Elephas maximus indicus: one gene and its partner. The protein of the gene in region 2 purifies or fractionates together with the protein of the main gene of each other region. This does not show direct contact. Links are inferred from orthologs where the notes say so. Each region holds a gene or a part of one and is shown on either strand. Other genes may lie near its edges. The genes, in order: RIC8A and GNAI3.

The links.
Region 1: the proteins of GNAI3 (region 2) and RIC8A purify together in Homo sapiens (affinity purification with mass spectrometry; 3 studies listed by BioGRID and IntAct, counting the BioPlex papers as one, with this or other methods). This does not show direct contact. The link is inferred for Elephas maximus indicus from reciprocal best matches to the Homo sapiens genes GNAI3 and RIC8A.

What each region holds. Positions count from the first base shown.
Region 1 is NC_064825.1:138,015,208-138,024,516, forward strand, and holds the start of RIC8A (synembryn-A), read right to left. Parts: upstream 4,327-9,309; 5' UTR 4,193-4,326; coding exon 4,109-4,192; intron 3,731-4,108; coding exon 3,683-3,730; intron 3,615-3,682; coding exon 3,024-3,614; intron 2,601-3,023; coding exon 2,509-2,600; intron 2,080-2,508; coding exon 1,929-2,079; intron 880-1,928; coding exon 784-879; intron 701-783; coding exon 556-700; intron 489-555; coding exon 344-488; intron 116-343; coding exon 1-115. Other genes in the region: BET1L (BET1-like protein), read left to right, coding at 6,179-6,197, 8,482-8,573, 8,822-8,878, 9,167-9,309.
Region 2 is NC_064821.1:172,028,533-172,037,760, forward strand, and holds the start of GNAI3 (guanine nucleotide-binding protein G(i) subunit alpha-3), read right to left. Parts: upstream 3,953-9,228; 5' UTR 3,816-3,952; coding exon 3,698-3,815; intron 1-3,697. Other genes in the region: GPR61 (G-protein coupled receptor 61), read right to left, coding at 8,348-9,228. UniProt on the Homo sapiens protein: Heterotrimeric guanine nucleotide-binding proteins (G proteins) function as transducers downstream of G protein-coupled receptors (GPCRs) in numerous signaling cascades.

The DNA of each region.
Region 1 (9,309 bases), on a different chromosome or scaffold from region 2:
AAGCCTGTCAAACATGTTCACCAGCTTCATGGCCTCATGTTCCTTCTGCTCCTCTGTCATACCCTCCATGGGGTTGGGTGGCTTCTCCTCCACCCTCCCCGTCACGGGGTTTATGCTGCTTCCAGGGGGGCACGGCGTTAGTGCCCAACCAGGATGGGAGGGGCTGGAGGGACAGTGGGCTCCCGAAATTCCCCCAGCAGTTAGGGGCTCCCACGTACAGACCACCTACCCAGACAGGCCCCGCCCCTGACCTGGATCTCAAGACAGATGCCACTCAGGGGAAGAAGCTGCTTCCACCCCCGTCCCACCCCACAGACGGGTGGTGTGGGCCAGGGCAGCACACCTGGCCTTGGCTTCCTTGTACTCCTCCGTGTCTGTGTCCTCGTCCTCCGAGTACTGGCCTGAGGCACGGCCCCCTGCCATGAGGCCCCTGGCAGCCAGGAGACCGGCGGCGTTCCCGTAGCCCGTGTACTTGATGAATCGGGGCACTGAAGGCAGGTGGAGGTCAGAGCCAGCCACGGCTGTGGGAGGGGTAGGTGCCCAGCCCCCACTCACCACTCTCGGCGCAGAGTACAAACAGGAACTCAGCAGCCACGCGCTTCACGTCAGTGTCCAGGTGTGTCATGAGGCGGACCAGCCTGTTGCGCAGCAGTCCCCCCACCTCGGGGCGGGTGCTCACGTCCCGCAGCGGGGGCAGCACCTGGGGAGTGGCCCGTCCCTTAGCCTGGGCGCAGCATGGTGCGGTCTGTGCCCAGGCCTGCCCCTGCCCCTAGGACCCCATACCTGGGCCTTTAGGAACTTCCTGGCTGGGCGGTGTGCACGGGCACACTCAGTCAGCACGCTCAACACAGGAGCCACGCTCTCCTTCAGCCGGTGCGTCTGTGGAGAAGCCTTTGTCACCTACCTGGCCCCACTGGCTTGCAGGTCCTGATGACAGGGGCTTGGGAACAAAAGTGGGACCTTGGCGGCGGCGGGGGAGGGGGGGTGGGTCTTGCAGAGGACCTGAAGCACCAACTGTATAGCAGGGCCTGCTCCAAACAGAAACCCCCACAGCCCGTACCCAGTCCCTCAGGCCAGCGAGACCCGAGACTTTGCCTGGTCTTCTGTCCGCATTTTTATCTTTTGTGAAAACACCCATACACGCATTCTACTGTTCCCTTTTCCACGTGAGTAACCTTTTAGATAATTTAAGGCGGATGCTTAAACATTTGTATCGGAACAAGTAGCAGTTCACGTGAGGCGCTCTGTTTCCTTGATTGTAGCTTCTCACACTACGGCCTCAAGTTAGCGCTCGCGTCTGCACAACAGGCACACGTAGTGCAGATGTGCCCCATGGTTCACACTGCACCTGAGCACCCTTCCCCAGGCGCTGTGGGTTCTGGAATCTTCTGAGTATCGAGCCTGTCCTGCTACATGACACTGCAAGCTCCTGGAAATCTGTTGAAGCCCAGCCACCCGGCCTCCTGGGGCGTCCCCGCAGTGATGAGAAGGACCCACTGGCCCAAGACTCCTACAGATTCTGCCTTAGGGAGGCCAAGAGAGGATGAGGCAGGGGGCAGCAAGGGACAACAAAGGGTTGGTGGGCACAGTGACACCAACGTTTAAGCATCATGCACATGGACTGGGCATTTCCCAGGACCACACAAAAGAGACCCACAACCATAAAAAAATTACAAGGACAAGCACCACACTGGACTTTGTAAACCAGTTAGTGTACCCACAGAGGGTCCACTGTTCAGACCCTCCACCAATCAAGAGTGAAACCTTCAGAAGAAAGGGCTCCACACGCTTCTCAAGAAGAACCATGGGCACTGGAGGGAATGCCCGACTCACATCAGAGACTTCCATGCACCAGGGCTGGTGGTGAAGAAGCAGGGAAAAGCCAGGTCAGACCCCCAGGGGCCTGCACAGCAGTCCCTCCTGCCTACCTGGTCCAAACGCCGCTCCAGGAAGTCAAGGAGAGCATGAATCACGTCCATGTTCACTCCCATGAACTCCAGGGAGCCTGTGTGCAGCTCCGGAGTGAGGAGGACGTCAAGGCACTCAAGTGGCAAGTTTCCCAGGAGATTCACTGCATGGCTGCAGACAGATGGGGTTTAATTAGGACAACTGTCCGGCAAGTGCAGTCCTAGCTGCCACCCTTCTCAGACCACACGTGAGGCTGCTCATCAGCCCAGGTCCAGGCGTCAGCGCCTCCCCTGACTGATCCTGGTGGTGCCAGGAATACCCAGGTATTTCTGAATGGTGCTGCTGCCCACCTCACTCAGACAGGTGAAATCAGACTCTAGGGTGGGTCCCTTCTGCTCTCTTTGCCCCGCCTCCCGATCCACAGCCAAGACTGAGAACCCTGTCTGAGCATCCCCTTCCCAGCCAAGGCAGGCCCACATGCACACCACCCCCATCTACCTTGAAGCCCCACCCACAGCCCCACCCACCCACCTCAAGGCCCCGCCCACCTGTAACCCATACCCCACACCCCCACTTACCCACCTCAAGCCCCTCCCTCACCCGTGGAACTCCTCCGTGCGGTCGCCGGCAGCCGAGACCATCACACAGTGCCGCAGAAGGATCCCCAGATGCCGGTAACAGGCAGCATCATCCTAACCAGAAACATGTTCTTAGAGGAGAGAAGAACCCCACTCCCGTGCTGTTGCCAGCTAAGGCTCTTCCATCCACTGAGCCTACCAACAAGCCTAGTCCTGGGCCCTTGTCCTCTCCAATGTGACCTTTACTTTACTAACAGTGGGGCTAAATAGCCTCTACTCTTTTCCTAACAGCACTTTTCCAACTAAGAACGTCAACACAGTCCCTTGGGATGAAATCCTGTTTCCTCTCCTACCACATACTCTGGTTCCTGCTGGGCCTGGAGAACCAGAAACCACCTCCCCTCGCAGCCTCCCTCCAATGCCTTCCTTGAGGCCCCTCCTCAAAAGGGACCCTCCTCTTCTCCAAGAGGCAGGAACCCCAATCCTCTCTCATCTGATGCCCACAAAATCAAAGGCACCTGTGAGTTGAGCCCTCACCTCATCCACCTCCTGCTTGACCAAATCGAAGGTGATGTTGAAGAGAACTTTGAGGATCTCCATGGCCCGCTCTGTCTCCTGTGCAGGGAGGAACTCAGGGGGGCTCTCCTCTGGGGACGCCCCCAACGTCAGCTCCAGCGCATGGGTCAGCAGGCGCACCCCCTGCAGCTCCCGAAACAGTTGCTGGCGCACGTCAGTGCGCAGTGCCGTCAGCAAGAAGAGTAGCCGCAAGTCAAAGAACTGGACATCATGCGGGAAGCTCCGCTGCCCGGAGAGCCGCACACGCTCTGAGAGCCTTACTACCAGGCAGGCCTGGGCAGCCAACGCCTGTGCCGCGGGGCTGCTCAGCACGAGGTTGCAGAGGCACTTGAGGGCCTCAAGCACAATGTCCATGTCTGGAGACTCAGGGTCAGGTCCCTCGGACACGAAGATGCCAGCACAGCGAGCCAGGGCCTGCAGGCTCGGGCGGCTGGTGAACAGGTCCAGGCAGCCGCGGTCCCGGGACAGGATGCGAAGGCTCTGCAGCCAAGTGGCGCGTCGAGAGGGCGGCAGGCCCTGCTCCAGGGCCGACACCAGCAGGCCGGCCAGTCTCTGCAGAGAGAGGAGCAGCTCCACCAGGCCCGCCCCCGCCCAGCCCCCCACCCCCGGCCAGCACCCACCTTCCTGTCTTCCCGCTGCGCGTCCTCAAACGTGAAGCTCTCCGAGTTCTGCAGAGAGAGATCAAGGGATCACGACGTTCAGGTTCCCCAGCCGGGGCAGGACCGCGCCCGCAGGGGGGCGGCAGCATCGGCCTCGACTCTGAGCAGGCGGCTGGGCCCGGCGCCCCCACCCGCAGACGCCCCCCACCGCGCCCCCCCGCCCGCAGATGCCACCACCGCGCCCCCCCGCCCGCAGACGCCCCCCACCGCGCGCCCCCCCGCCCGCAGACGCCCCCCACCGCGCGCCCCCACCGCGCCCCCCCGCCCGCAGACGCCCCCCACCGCGCCCCCCCGCCCGCAGACGCCCCCACAGCCCGTCCCGCAGGCTCAGCCCCGCCGCGCGGCGCGCCCACCGTAGTGCCCGGCCCGTCAAAGGCTCGCGCTCACCTCCCGGTTGTACGTCCGCAGGGCCTCCATCATTGCGGCCTCCTCCCCCGCCTCCACGGCATTCGCAACCGCCCGGGGCTCCATGGCGTCGCTGGGACCGGCGCGGGGAGGCTCCAGTCGGCGAGCGGAAGGCCCTCGAGCCGCGGAGCCGACCCCGCCCTGCCTCCCGACCCAGCGTCACGCGCGCGGGGGAGGCCGGGACCGAAAGTGCGCGCGCCACGGGGAAGGCCTGGACGGGGCATGCGCGCGCCGCGGGAGGGGCCTGGACGGGGCATGCGCGGCGCCGCGGGAGGGGCCTGGACGGGGCATGCGCAGAGCCGCGGGAGGGGCCTGGACGGGGCATGCGCGGCGCCGCGGGAGGGGCCTGGACGGGGCATGCGCAGAGCCGCGGGAGGGGCCTGGACGGGGCATGCGCAGAGCCGCGGGAGGGGCCTGGACGGGGCATGCGCGGAGCCGCGGAGAGGTCCGGGTGGTGTTGGTGGCCTTGAAGTCGACTAGGCTACGAGACCCGGCTTGGTTATCGGCTGACCTCAGAGTCCGAGTCGCTCAGTGCAGAACCATGGCCCACCCCCCGACTGCTCCTTGGGCCAGAATTTCCAACAGGAGAGGGCCTCGTCCCCCCACCCGCGACACGCACACACTAACGCCCTTCTTGATCCACCGAACGAATGGGAGGGGGACAACCGAGGTGGAACTTTGTAGTCCTGGGGCCAATTGGTTTGATAAACAGGATTTTGTTGAGCTCCTATTTCATGCGAGGTGCTAGGGTCCCTGCCTTTCTGAAGTTCGTCTTCTAGAGAGGAAGACAGACCAGGAAAAACAAATGACTGGGCGGTCATAAGTGCCATGATTCAAAAAGCAGCCAAGAGTCCTGTGATCTCCAGTGCATGGTGGGCTGCAAAAGGCTCTGAAGAAGTGACCCTCTTGCTGAGACGAATGACAAGAACAGGGGCCAGGAAAAGGCCTGAGAGGGGTCGTTCAAGGCAGAAGGAATAGCTTGTCCAAGAGTGGGAATGACCGTGGTGGGATGGGGAAAGGAAGTTACCGTTGGAGCTGAGACGAGGGGGAGTGGGGAAGAGGTCAGGGATGAAGAGGGGAGCCTGACCGTGTGCGGCGATTTCCTCCATGTGTAACCCAGACCTGGTGCCCAGCCTGGACGCGGTTTTCTTTTTGTGTAAAACAGGAATAATAAAAGTGCCCGTCTCAATGGGTTATCATGAGGATTAAATGCATTTAAGTGCAAAGCACTCAACGTAGTGTTTCGCACACAGAAAATGGTCCGTAACGGTGGGTAACTTATAAATACGGCGCATCCACCCATCTATTCTTTCAATAAACATTGAGCATCTACTTCGTGCCAGGCCCTTTGTTAGGGACAAAGTTCAAAGTCCCCACCTATCACCAATACCCCTATTCCTTGCTTTATTTTTTCCACGATTCTTCACGCCTCTACTTTAACAAACACACAGAGCTTCCTCGGTGCAGGCACTGTCCTAAGCACTGTCAGCTCTGTAGATGCGAGCTGGTGTGCAGAGGTTAACCATCCCCAGGCCACACCAGGGCGATGCTGTCCCTAACGCGCCGCAGCTTTGGCTTGTCTGCAGCACTAGGACGGTGGGCGCCCCGGTCGCGGAGCCCGGCCCAGAGCGGAGCGCAGGCAGGCAGGCGGGACGCCACCCGCACCTAGCCTGTAAAAGCTGCCCGGTATTTACTGGCTAGCCTGGCGCTACGTTACTGCCTGATGCACCTCTGGTTGGAATAACCGAGAGAAGAGCCTTTCGGGGACCATGATTTGCCATTAAAAATAGAAGGCAACCAAGCGGTACCAAAAGCAAACAACCCCGCCGCGCCCCCATTTCGCGGGCTCTGAAGCCAACTTGAACTCACTTCCGCCTCCTTTCAGCCGGAAGTCGAGCGAGGCTCTGGCGGAAGGGGCGGGGCTGTGGCCGGTCGGGGCGGGGCCACGGCTCAGTGGGGGCCGGAAGCCTCTTCCGGTGCCCAGTGCCACGTCCGTGGAGGCGGCGGCGGCGGCCCAACCGGGGACCGAGGCCCGGGCCGGAACTGGGCGCGATGGCGGACTGGGCTAGAGGTGCGCGCCGGGAAGCACGGCTGTTGGAACCGGGGGGCGGGGCCGGAACCGGGGCAACACCGCGGGAGCGACCCCGCCGCGGCGGGCGGAGCCGGGGCTCCGGGGCCTCCCCGGGCGGGAGCGGGCCGCACTCCGCGGGCGCTGAGGGCCCTGCCGCTCGGTCCCGGCCGCAGAGCGTACCCCGCACCCACTCGTGCGGCGCCCAGGGCCCCTGGGGCCTAGGATGGGGCCTCGGACGGGCCACCCGGCGACTGTCCGAGAGGCTGGTGCGAGGACCCGTGAGCCTCCGAGTCGAGGCTGTGCGGTGGGAGGGTCCAGACAGGCCGTGTACCGACTCGGTGTTCCCGTCTGTTAAGGGGGGCTGTGTACCGACTCGGTGTTCCCGTCTGTTAAGCGGGGCCGTGTACCGACTCGGTGTTCCCGTCTGTTAAGGGGGGCTGTGTACCGACTCGGTGTTCCCGTCTGTTAAGTGGGGTTCTGATACCTGTCCCATTGGACTGTCCTGACGCGTAAAGGCGTAGAGAACATGAAAGATGCCTCGCACAATTGGCTCTCCTTCCCCGGGTGTAAAATGGTGTGGCGGGGCCTCTGACCTCCTCTGACTTCACAAGTGGGAAGGAGAAAGGTCAGCACCAGCAGCACAAGGCTGATTGCGTTGAGGTGGAGGTCAGACATGCCTCCACCCATCAACCCTTTTACCAATTCTGACACCAGCTGCCCCTCCCACGGCACTCTGTACTCCTCTGTTGGGTTCGATAATTGGTTGCAATGATCACACAGGACTCATAGACTCGTAGGTAGTTAAGGTTTGTTAGGGAAGTAATGGGTTACAATTCAGGATCAGGAACGCTCAGGATACAGTTCTGGGATCAAGACAGCCTCTTTGCCACAGGCCTTTCTCTGCCCCCCGCCCCCCCGCCTCTGACCTGTTCATCCAAGTGTTACAAAGCTCTTTTAGCTCTGCCAGCGAATACCTGGAGGCACCCCAGTCCGCCAGGAAGCCTTGTGCCGGAAGACGCTTAGCTCTCTGGCTCTGTGGGTGGGCAAGCCCACTGCACCGTCTCCTGCCAGTCTCCTGGTTCTGCTGCCTCTGCTGCCACTGCTTCTTGCTATCTCCAGTGTTAACAGCTCTCTCTCTCTGTCTTCGGGGTCCAGGACGTTCCCAGAGCAGGGATCCCGGGTCCAAAGGATGCGCTCCACTCCTAGCTCTTTTTTGGTGGTAGTGAGAACCCCACTCTGCTCTGGAATTGACTGCTTGTTTAAGTCCAGCTGGATGGCAAAACTGACCAGTCCCCTTATTAGGGTTTTATATACCTTATTAGCATGATCACACCTCCGTAGGGTCCTGTGCACCTTATTTGCATGATCAGTAAGCTATCCAATCGTCTTGGCAGGTCATAAGCACCTTATTTGCAGTTACAAAAACTGTTGACTAGAAGGGCCATATTAAGCGATTCACTGTACTGCAGCAGGGGTCTTTACACGTCATTCCTGTGGGGCTGTGCTGCACTCCAGTGGGTCACGTAGACGTCATTGACCCAGGTGCGTGAGGTGTGCGCGGGGCGACGATTCTCATCCACCCGCTGTGATGCGAATCCTGCATCTCCTGGCCCAGCCCCAAAGTGGAGAGTGGAAAATGGGTTTGTCGGGCCACAGGCAGTCACAATGGGGAGCAAACACAGTGCACAGACCCAGCTATGCCCTTGGGGTCAGGTATCTCAGCTCCTGACCATTCCCATGTGTGAAAGGCTACCCAAGGTCCCCGGCCACCTGTCACCTCTTCAGGACCCAGCTCATGGCCGCCCACACAGGAGCTTCCCTGTACCCTCCAGGGGTCCTTCCAGGTTGCTCTTGAGGATTGTCTGGTGAACATAAAGAACACACAGGCAGGTGTTGTGTCTTCCCAGTACCCCTGGGCTTGGTCCAGGTCCTGGCAGAGTCAGGTTAGAAAGTGCTGGTTGGACAAGCCCGTCGGGGGCACACGGGGGGGCGTTCCATGCGTCCTGCGCGGGCATGTACATGGGATGTGCACTCGCACGTTGTTGCACAGATTGTCCTATGGGAAAGACCTGCGGACCTCACACTGGAACCTAGACTAGGACACACCTGCCCAGCAGGTTAGGACCCACACCTGCCCAGCAGGTCACAGATGGAGGGGACTCAGGCCCACTGACATGTCTACCTGGGTCCAGTGGGATGGATGAAGGCGCAGAGAGTCGGCTCCCCGAGTTCCAGGGTTGGGGCTTCCACTGGTGATGCGATCCCTCCCTCTCTCTCTCTGCAGCTCAGAGCCCTGGGGCTGTGGATGAAATTCTGGACCAGGAGAACAAGCGGATGGCAGACCACCTGGCCTCCAAGGTCACCCGGCTCAAGTCGGTCTGTGCAGTTGTGGGCAGGACCTGAGGGAGGGCAGCCAGCTGGAGGGGGGTTCCAGGCAGTGTATCCCTCTCTTCACCCCATCCATGCTTACCTACCACACAGGTTCTGGGTGACACCTGACCTTGCCAGCGGCACCCATGTCCTGCCGGTTTGCTGGCAAGGTCTGGCTAGTCTTGCAGGGAGGGTGGGGACCGCCCACTCTTTGTGGCCCTGGCCTGAGCCTGCCTTCTCTGTGCCCTGACCAGCTGGCCCTGGACATTGACAGGGATGCAGAGGACCAGAACCACTACCTGGACAGCATGGTAGGGGCCTACAGCCTTCCCCACCTCAGCTGTGTCCCCTGCCCACACCCTGTGTTTGGCTTGTGCCCACCCTCCCGCATGGTCATCTCTGATCCCCACATACCAGTCCCTGCCCCGTACCCTCTCCATGCCTCGCACCCCGTAGTACCTGTCCTGTACCGCCATCCCTGCCCCCGTGCCCTGCTCTGTCCCCCCACCCTCCGTCTACCCCTCACCTTTGTCCCTGCCCTACACCCCTCTATCCTGCACTCTGTCCCTGCCCCCCATGTGATGGACAGCTCCCCCTAGGACTCAGATTTCTCAAGTGTGACGGGCCTGCTCACTGGGAGTGTGAAACGCTTCTCTACAATGGCACGGTCTGGACGTGACAACCGGAGACTTCTGTGCGGTGTGGCTTTGGGCCTGCTCGTGGCCTTCTTCATTCTCTCCTA
Region 2 (9,228 bases):
ATGGCACACATTGAAAATAATAATATTTGTAAGGCTCATTGGAGTAAACTAGAGAGGCTTGGTAAAATATATATATATATTTCTCTATATTATGAATTATGACCAGAAATACAATCCTTCCAAATAAAATATTTTCCAATTATCAAATTCAGAAAGTTTATAGAGAGAATCACCAAAAATGTTAAAATAGCATAACTGTTTTAAAATTCTGAAAAGTTATAAGAAGGATTTACAATTTCAACACTATTAATTAAAACAAAATTTCAACGCTATAACAAATTTTCAAACAGCACACCAATAAACCATTCCATGTGCCAGCACACTGGCTAGGAAGCTTTGCATGATTTTGCCTTTCAGTAGAATATTGTGATTGAACACAAGTTTGGCGTATCGAGATCTTCCCAATAACACCTAAAGAAAATTCAAAAACAGGCAAACAGCAGAGAAAATTACAGTACTGAAGTCTTCCTTAGCTATTTTAGCCCACACTGGTTTCCTTATTTAAATTTCTACAGTATTTATAATCTATAACATTCATTTCGATTTTATAATAACAACAATAGCTAATACTCACTGAGCTAGTACTATGTGCCAGACTGTATTCCACTTTACCCTATCGTATTTAATCCTCACAGCAATCCTATGAAGTACCTTTATCTTCTCCATTTTAAAAATGAGGAAACTGAGGCAGAGAGAAATAAATGAATTTTCCCAAGGTTATAGCTAGTAAGTGGGAATCAGGTTTTCAAGCAGTCTGACTTCAGACTATTAACCACTAGGCTAAACGACATCCCTTTGACAACAAAAATATATTACTACTTACTGAGCACCTATCATGTCCCAGGGAAGACAAAGGTAATAGAGATAGATCTCAAGTTAGACTAAGTTTGATAGTTTCAGAGTGATGAAGTAAAAATGACTCACATGTACATCAAAGAACGTACTCAACAGCAAAAAAAAAAAAAAATCACATACAGCGATGAGTACATTTTACATAAATAGCAAGGAAGGCAGTTTTAACTTCACATGTGCATCATCATCCGGCTCAAGCAAGAACATCTCTCTGGAACCTGTTTGAATTTGTTGATTTAACTTGCTCAAGGATACAAAAAAAAAAAAAAAACTTACGTAAAAAACAATGAAGTTAATGCCTCCTCTGCCAAAAGACCAGAAGAGCTGGATGATGCCCAGCTATCACTGCTGAACATTTCGATCAAAGATTCTACGGAAAAGAATTTCAAATTCTCATGGAACTCCAGACTTTCTAGAGCCATGGGGGCTAGATGAACCCCTGATACTACTGCCCTGAGATAAACTTTAAAACTTAAAACGAAGGTGAAAATGATTGCACAATCATTTCAAAAATGATTATATCTGAATTACATTTCGAAGGATGTAACCAATGTCGCTAAATTGTACATGCAGAAACGGTTGAACTGGTATATGTTTTACTGTGTATATTTTCAAAAACAACAAAGTTTTTTTAAAAATGAAGTGATAAAAATTAAAAACAAATGCTTTAATACTTTGATTTTTATTTACTGCTTTTCAAGTTTCCTAAATCATCACATGCTTTTGTTTTTAATTAAATGTAATATTTATAAAGTCCCGAATAAAGATTTTTCTAAACATCTGAACGAGTTCTACTTGCCTGAGTTCTGCCTGCTAAGTCTTGCCATTTGGAAGAAAGTCTCATAGTTTACAACTATATTAAAACAGGCTAACGGCCCAAGGGATCTCCGACGGCCAATGTAAATCAAAACACTCACAGAAGCCGAGAATGCACCTTTAACCTCATAACCAACCTATCAATATAGAAAATGCCTTCACTGTTATACTTTGTACCAAACATCTGAAAGGCCCCAGGACCAATGTCCAACATTAGCTGGCTCAGGCTGATTAGCAGCAAATGTTTAAGCAGCACCTACTATGTGCCAGGGACTGTGCTCATCCACAACAACACCTGTTACATACCTACCGCCGTCAGGTCGATTCCAACCCACGACGACCCTTCAAGACAGAGTAGAACTGCTCCGTAGGGCTTCCAAGACTGTAAATCTTCACAGAAGCAGACTGCCACATCGCTGTCCCGCAGAACGGCTGGTGGGTTCAAACCACTGACTTTTCGGCTAGAAGCCAAGCACTTAACCACTGCGGAACCAGGGCTCCTTATCTATTACATAGACCGTGGAAATCTTGAACTAAATCTGAATTTGTGCCTTCTGAAAGTTTAGGCAGTCAAACTGGAAGCTCAAAATCCAATGCAGTTTTCCCCTTATATCCAAAAAAGCTATTACCAGGGCTTCTGCGATCAACAGACAAACAAATATGTTAACAAGAAGAGACTAGCAGGTGCAGCCAGCACGTCCCAAAGTTCAAACTAAAACAAGCCTTGGATTATGGTGGTGCATTCTGTCCTCTGAGTCTGTTTTACACTATGAAAATTTGGCACTTCCCCTAAAGCAGCTACTTTTTCTCAAAAGTCAACTGTTTTAAAAATTAAGCTGTTCTATTGCTTAAGAAACCACTTTATTCTTATTCTTCTCTAATGGGTCCCTAGAAAATATTAATAGTGAAGAAATGTGGCTCGATTTATTGGTAAACTAATGCCAAGGTACTTCATATGATTTACTGAGCCTCTAGAAGCCAGTCTCTCAAAAATTGTAAAACTAAACCTGCTGAGCAAAATGCACCTGATGGTCCGTAAAAGCTATTTTTTAAAAATGTCAGGTAGCATCATAAAAAGTAATGCCTAAAGCCAATATTTTTTATTCGAAGAAACCAAAAAAGATAAAACAGTTCACCATAGATCTGTCGGTCTTTAGAAGAAATATGTCCAATTTCTTAACTTTTCCTAACTCCTTCATTCACACTGCACATCACCCCTAGCCAACTATTGAGCAACTCCCAATAGATAATCTATGTCCACTACCTCAACTGCCACAAATCTCAACCAAGCCATTCTTTAAATTTCCCCAGCTCTCTACATCCCCCCTTTATAAAAACAGGGGAGGGGGCTGTAAAATTTAAGAGAATAAAAATGATAGAAAACGCAGGACAAGTATAAAGACGGCCTCAGCACCCAAGCTCTCTTCGTTCATACCCGATAACCTGTCACCCACCTTTATGTTCCTGGATAATCCAAGTTCCCTCCACTTACCAACAGTTCAAAATGCCCACTCTCTAATGACAGAGTCCTTATGTGATCGCTCTGCCCCAACCTCTCTATTTATATTAATTACTCTAAGTTTCCCAGCTCTATTCTAAGAGTACCACTACGCTTCAAATTCGCAAACCATTATACAAACCCTACACATTACACTGTATCCCGAACTCCTTGCTATCAAAACACTGCAAATCCATACAAAAGTTTCCCTAATATCAGCTGTTTTATGAGTATTTCCTATATTCCTAACAGTCTCTTTACGGTACCGCCCCATTCCGAAGCTCTCTACGCTAAACCCAATTCCAGCCCGGAGTCACACCCTCTACAGCTTAATTCCTACAACCCCAAACCCCACCCCCTCATCACGCCCTCCGGGGCCTCAGACACCAACCTAAATACCCGCCCCAAGCCCGTCAAGCCCTCTAGATCTCTCCGGAGTCCTTTACACCGGCCCGGCCTGACCCCCCCTCAGATTTTCCAAGTGCCCAGGGCCTCCCAACCACCCCGCCAGCCACGCCCACGGCCCCATACCAAGCAGGAGCAGCTTTACTTCCTTGGCCGCCTTCTCCCCGTCCTCCCGCAAGTTGCGGTCGATCATCTTGCTCCGCTCCACCGCCGCCTTGTCTTCGGCGCTCAACGTGCAGCCCATGGCGGCGGCGGGAGAGGGGACCGTATCCGGGCTCACTCACACACCGCGGCGACTGCGGCTCGGGCGACTGAGACGGCGCCTGCTGCTGGGCGGCGTCCCTCTTCAGTCTCAGCTCCCGGAGCGCCCAGAGGAACCGGATATCCGGCGTTTGCGACACTTCCGGTGATGCCCTACGGCCGTCCCTTCTCAAACCGCTCTAGCTCCGGGAGGGGAGGTGCTACCAAAAGCGGAAGTACTGGGGAGGGGGCGGTAGGCTCAGGTTATGGATTTGTGGGCTGGGTGCACACCTCTAGTCCGTCTTTAGTCTCTTTTTCCCTTTTCGTCTGCCTTTTGCTTTTCTATATTATTTAAATAAATGTAGAAAATCCTGGGTCTGGCTTCTGTATTTCATAGGCGCCTTTCTGAGATCCCACAGACGGGTTTGGACGGGGCAGGATGGTGGGAGAGATTCTCAGCTAAGAGCCTACAGCCCGCACGGAAGGCTTTGCTGGGTGCAGGCCAGTGAGCCTTTGATCGCTGGCCTTGGAGATCCTGGCCGCTGCCCAAGTATAGGACAGTCTGCCAGGGTCGTCTCGGCTAGATTTATAGAAAGGGAACAAACTGCAGCCTGGTCCCCAGCCGCGCCTCACATCTGAGATCTAACACTATAGCGAGCCACTTCTGCCCTCTCCTCTGGCCCGCTACCTCCTGCTCTCAAAATGGATTCTGGTCCGCGTGCCATTACGTACGAGGTTCTGTGGATTGGGGAGTTACCCAGCTCCTGTGTTGTCAAAGAACCACTTGCAATCTCTAGCAGAGACCCAGTAACCTGAAAGTTACGCGTGTAGTTCATAAAATTTCCATGCTGCCCTCTCTAACATAAGCCAATTTTAGCTCTTATGGTCGTCTAGCTTAGGGGCTTAGGACTTTTACCAAAATTAGTCAGCTGCAGTCCCACTCCCCAAAACAAACCAGTGCATCTTGTGAATCTTCTAAATTTACTGTGTGCTCGTTTTTCAACTCTAGTGACACCTGAAAATTAGTAAGTCCCTGTGAAAACCCCAGGCTGATACTTCCTTTCCTTGATAACCCCAGGTACTAGTTGAAGGCGGCCTTAACTTCCCTTTACTGCCAAACGCCCCACAAACACTCTCACCATACGTTCTAGGGAGAGGAACTCTTTCGTGGCTCCCAAAAAATCTTTCCCTGTGACTAAAAATTATTTAATTACCCTAATAGAATTTAAACCTTAGAGGCTAAGGTTCCCAATAGAAAGGTCTATATGGTGATGATTTATTAATTACAGCAATATCATGAGAGCCATATTAACCTAACCCAAAAAACGCATCAATGCCAATCTTCAGAGTTTGAAGGTCTCCCACTCATTCTCAAACGACTGTTAGGATAACCATAATCAGTGTTTCTGGGGAAAAAGGGCAAGAGGAAAGGGGAAGAAAAAACAGTATTTATTGAGTACCTATTTGCCAGGTATGGCTAGGTGCTTCCACTGTCATCTCTTTTAATCCTCACAACAACCCTGTGAGGTAGGTAATATCCTCATTTTTACAGATGAGGAAATAGGCTCAGAGAAATTAAGCAGCTTTCCCAAGTTCACACAGTGAGTAAGTAGATCTATCTGACTCCAAATTTGTCCCTTTTCTACCATGACCCTATAGGATCTTGCCTGGAGAGAACTGACAACAGAGGGTCTAAAGTTTTCATCTAAGATTGGGAGTCACCCCAACACCACCAGAATGTGGGTGAAAAAGTAAATGACAGAATGGTTGCCCCAACTTGTTGCCTTTTGTGAATTAGGGCGTTCAGGTTTTATCCAGGAACAGTTTTCAGAGCTAAGATAACATATCAAACTTTATCAAGCCAAACTAGTGACTAGAAAACGCCTGGAACGTGGTCATGGCAGAAATTGTTGGGAACATTCTCAGCATGACAGGAGAGAATTTTTTATTTCCTTCATTATCCACTCAGACAAGGAAAAATAACTGACAATTTTCATCGTCAAACTCTGTAATAAACACCAATGAGATCACAGTGTCAGGAAATTTCAGCCTGAATTAGAGAGATCCTTGCACTTAAAACTTTCTTCTTCGATGTATGTAAACAAAGGTTAGAGGGTAAAACCCAAAAAAAGGGCAAAATAAATTACCAAAATGGCTGCCAGGCAAGGTTTAATTTCCCCCTCTTCCCCTTCACCACACGCACCCCTTTCCTTTTTCAACTGGACTCACACTGCCACCTGCTGGCAATGCTTGTGTTTTGAAGAAGAATTTCTCCCTCATCTAGGAATGAGATTCCTCAGTATGATTTTATCTTAAAATGGAATAGAGAGAGCAGTACAAACATGTTTTTTCAATCACAAAGGACTCTCTTCACTGTATATACTACCTTTGTAAGGTATTTTATCAATATAATAGGCACTAGATTGGAGTAATAAGTGGTAGGAAGACAGAAACCTAGAAATATTTCTAGATGAAGGGAGGGAAAGCTACGTTTGCCCAAGTTCATTTAATTAATCATTTTCTCCACTAGACAGTTTTCTTTTATAACTGTCACCCTTTCCACAATCTACAGGAAACCTCTGTGTAGATATATTTCTGCAATGGACCAAACTCTCAGAAGTTATAACCACAGACATATTCTCCAATCTATCTCTCAAATACTTGCTATGGTACTTTACCAGCTATCAATGCTCTGTAAAAATACAAAGTATCTGATCAAATTAGACTGTGAACTGCTTGAAAGCAGTGACCGCACATCGTTTGTGTGGGTCCCAGAGAATAGTGGGTGTTCAACTAGTATGCACTGAATTGAACTGAAGGAGTCAGTATTGATATCAGTATAACTTTTTTATAGTAAAATTATTTATTGGCTGTTCAAAGGGGAAACTATCCCACTCCCACCAATCCATTTTCCCCTTTGATGCTCAATGAGCCAGGCTTTTGTTCAAATACAGACCATGCCATCCCCTGGTCCTGCCTTATCCTTGTGTGTCACCTGATTAAATTGGGGGAAGCAGGGTGAACAGGTAGTCCCAGATGGGTGTCCTGGCTAGTTTGCAATTACTCCCTCTTCCTTGAAAATTTGATTGGTTCATGCTCTGGCCACTAATACCAAGTAATAGTTCCTCCAATCGCAATCAGTGAACAGTTGAGCCCAACTCCTGTGCCTTCTCTCCAATCCAGGGCTGCAGATAGAAGAGATTTAAGTCACTGAAGCTAATTTTGAGAGTGATGAATGAGTTATAGAGAGGCATTCGGTGGCCCATGGAAAACCCACCCTTTCCATGCCCAACCTTAGTCTCTTGTACCCGATTATCCAGGGGGCTGGAGGTGGGTCGCTGCCATGAGGAGAGAGATCAGGGAGGCCAGTCCTGGAAGGGAAAGATTATCGATATTATTGATCAGGGTGATTAGCTGGCCTCTTTGTACTCAGCCACCTTAGCAATTCAAATGCTAGCTCCCACCCTCAGCCATTCCACTCCCAATCTTTCCAAGATCTTCATCCTAAAAAGGAGAAACATCCATCCTATCTAATTCTCTTGCCTCTGCTGAGATCAAGCCCTAAGCTTGATCTCCCATATACAGAGTGACAGGGAAATAAAGAAGAGGGGCTGCTCCTGAGAGTGGGAGAGAGAGCTGCAGTCAGCTTTCCTGTCTTCTACTCCACGTACCCTGAACTGCTATTCCGCTTGTTTCTGGCCAAACTTGGATAATTGTGGTAGGAAGGAACATACCCAACTCATCCTTTCCCTTTAAGGAAATTTCAGATATAAAACTGGAAAGAGATCTATTAGCTTGAATGGAAACACTTGGCTGTAATTTAGTTCTTTCTAAACCTAGGAAGAAATAGCCCTGGTGGTGCAGTGGTTAAGCACTCAGCTGCTAACCGAAAAGGTTGGCGGTTTGAACCCACCAGCTGCTCCATGGGAGAAAGATGTGGCAGTCTGCTTCCATAAAGATTACAGCCTTGGAAACCCTGTAGGGCAGTTCTACTTTGTCCTACAGGGTTGCTATGCGTAGAAATCGAGTCAACGGCGATGGGTTTGGTTTTTTTTTGGTTTTAAACCTAGCAAGGCAATGAGAAGACACGGGTCATTTTCTTAACTTGCTTGGATGCAATTACCGCCCTGGACAATTATACTGGAAAATAAAATATCCAAAGTAGCCCCAGAATAACTCCAAACGTAGCCTACAGCCCTGTATCCACCAACTTAGAGAGTTTCCCTGCTTCCTGTGGCATGGAAAACTCACTGGTTAAGAGGCTTCATCTCACCTTTGTGACCCTTTTCTCTCAACACCAGCTCGCCATACCCAGGTTCCCTCCCCCAGTAGTCAAGGATCACAGCCAAGTCCAAAGCTGTTGCCACATGTCCATGCTGTCAGCTGTATTCCTGACCCAGGAAATGCCAAGCAAAAGCTGTGTGCAGAGACCCCACCTCCAGCTCCAGCCAGCTGGGAACAGGTGATTCCACAAGGTGGTCCTTGCAATCATAACAGGCCCCCAGGCCCATCTCCCTCTGAGTGTCCAGCAGCCCATCACGATTCCAGCCGGGGTGACGGAGCAGGACGGAGGTAGCTGTCTGACATGATGATGTCGCTGGTAAGTTGCTGCTCCAGGAACTCAGAGGTCTCCTCAGCTATCTGACCTGGAATTCGAAAGTCAACAGCAGGTGGCTCCTGCTTGGGGCTGGGTAGGGGTCGGGAAACCCAGGACTCTGTGGGACAGCCAGTCCCCTGAAGGAACTGCAGAAAGTTTTCCTCAATTGAGCCCTCCCGACTAGGCAGCCTCAGTTCCTCCTCTGGAGCCGGCTTGAAGAAGCAAACAAACTGCTTGCTGAGCTCCCCCCGGATCTGCCGATTGAGACATCCATAGAAGAAAGGGTTGGAAGTGAAACAGAAGTAGCCGATCCAGGTGACCACACTCTCTACCTGCCCGGTTGAAATGGGCTGAGCACTCAGGGCAACATAGAGGTGGAAAGAGAAATAGGGCAACCAACAGAGCAGGAACTGTCCCCCCACGGCCAAGAGAATCACTGCCGCCTTCCCTCCTCCAAACGTCCGGTGCGGGGTGGTCTGGGGGGCCCCCGAGCTGGTGACCATAGTGGAACGGCTACTGAGAGACTCCGAGCGTTGCCGGGGTGTCTCCATCCACGTGGGCAGGGGCCCATGCTGCATGGCAGCCACTCGAGCCACTCGGAACATGCTGCAGTAGACCACAAGGATGAGGAGCAGGGGCAACAAGAAGTAAAGGACAGCAAAGACCACCACAAAAAGCTGGCAGTAGGCACTGCGGCTCCATTGGAGCGAGCAGCCTGGGGGGATGCTGGGAGCGCCTTCCTCCCAGGATACCCTTCCCAAAACTGGCACAGAAGCCATGGCCAAGGCCTTCACCCACACCCCCACAAGCACAGAGGCCA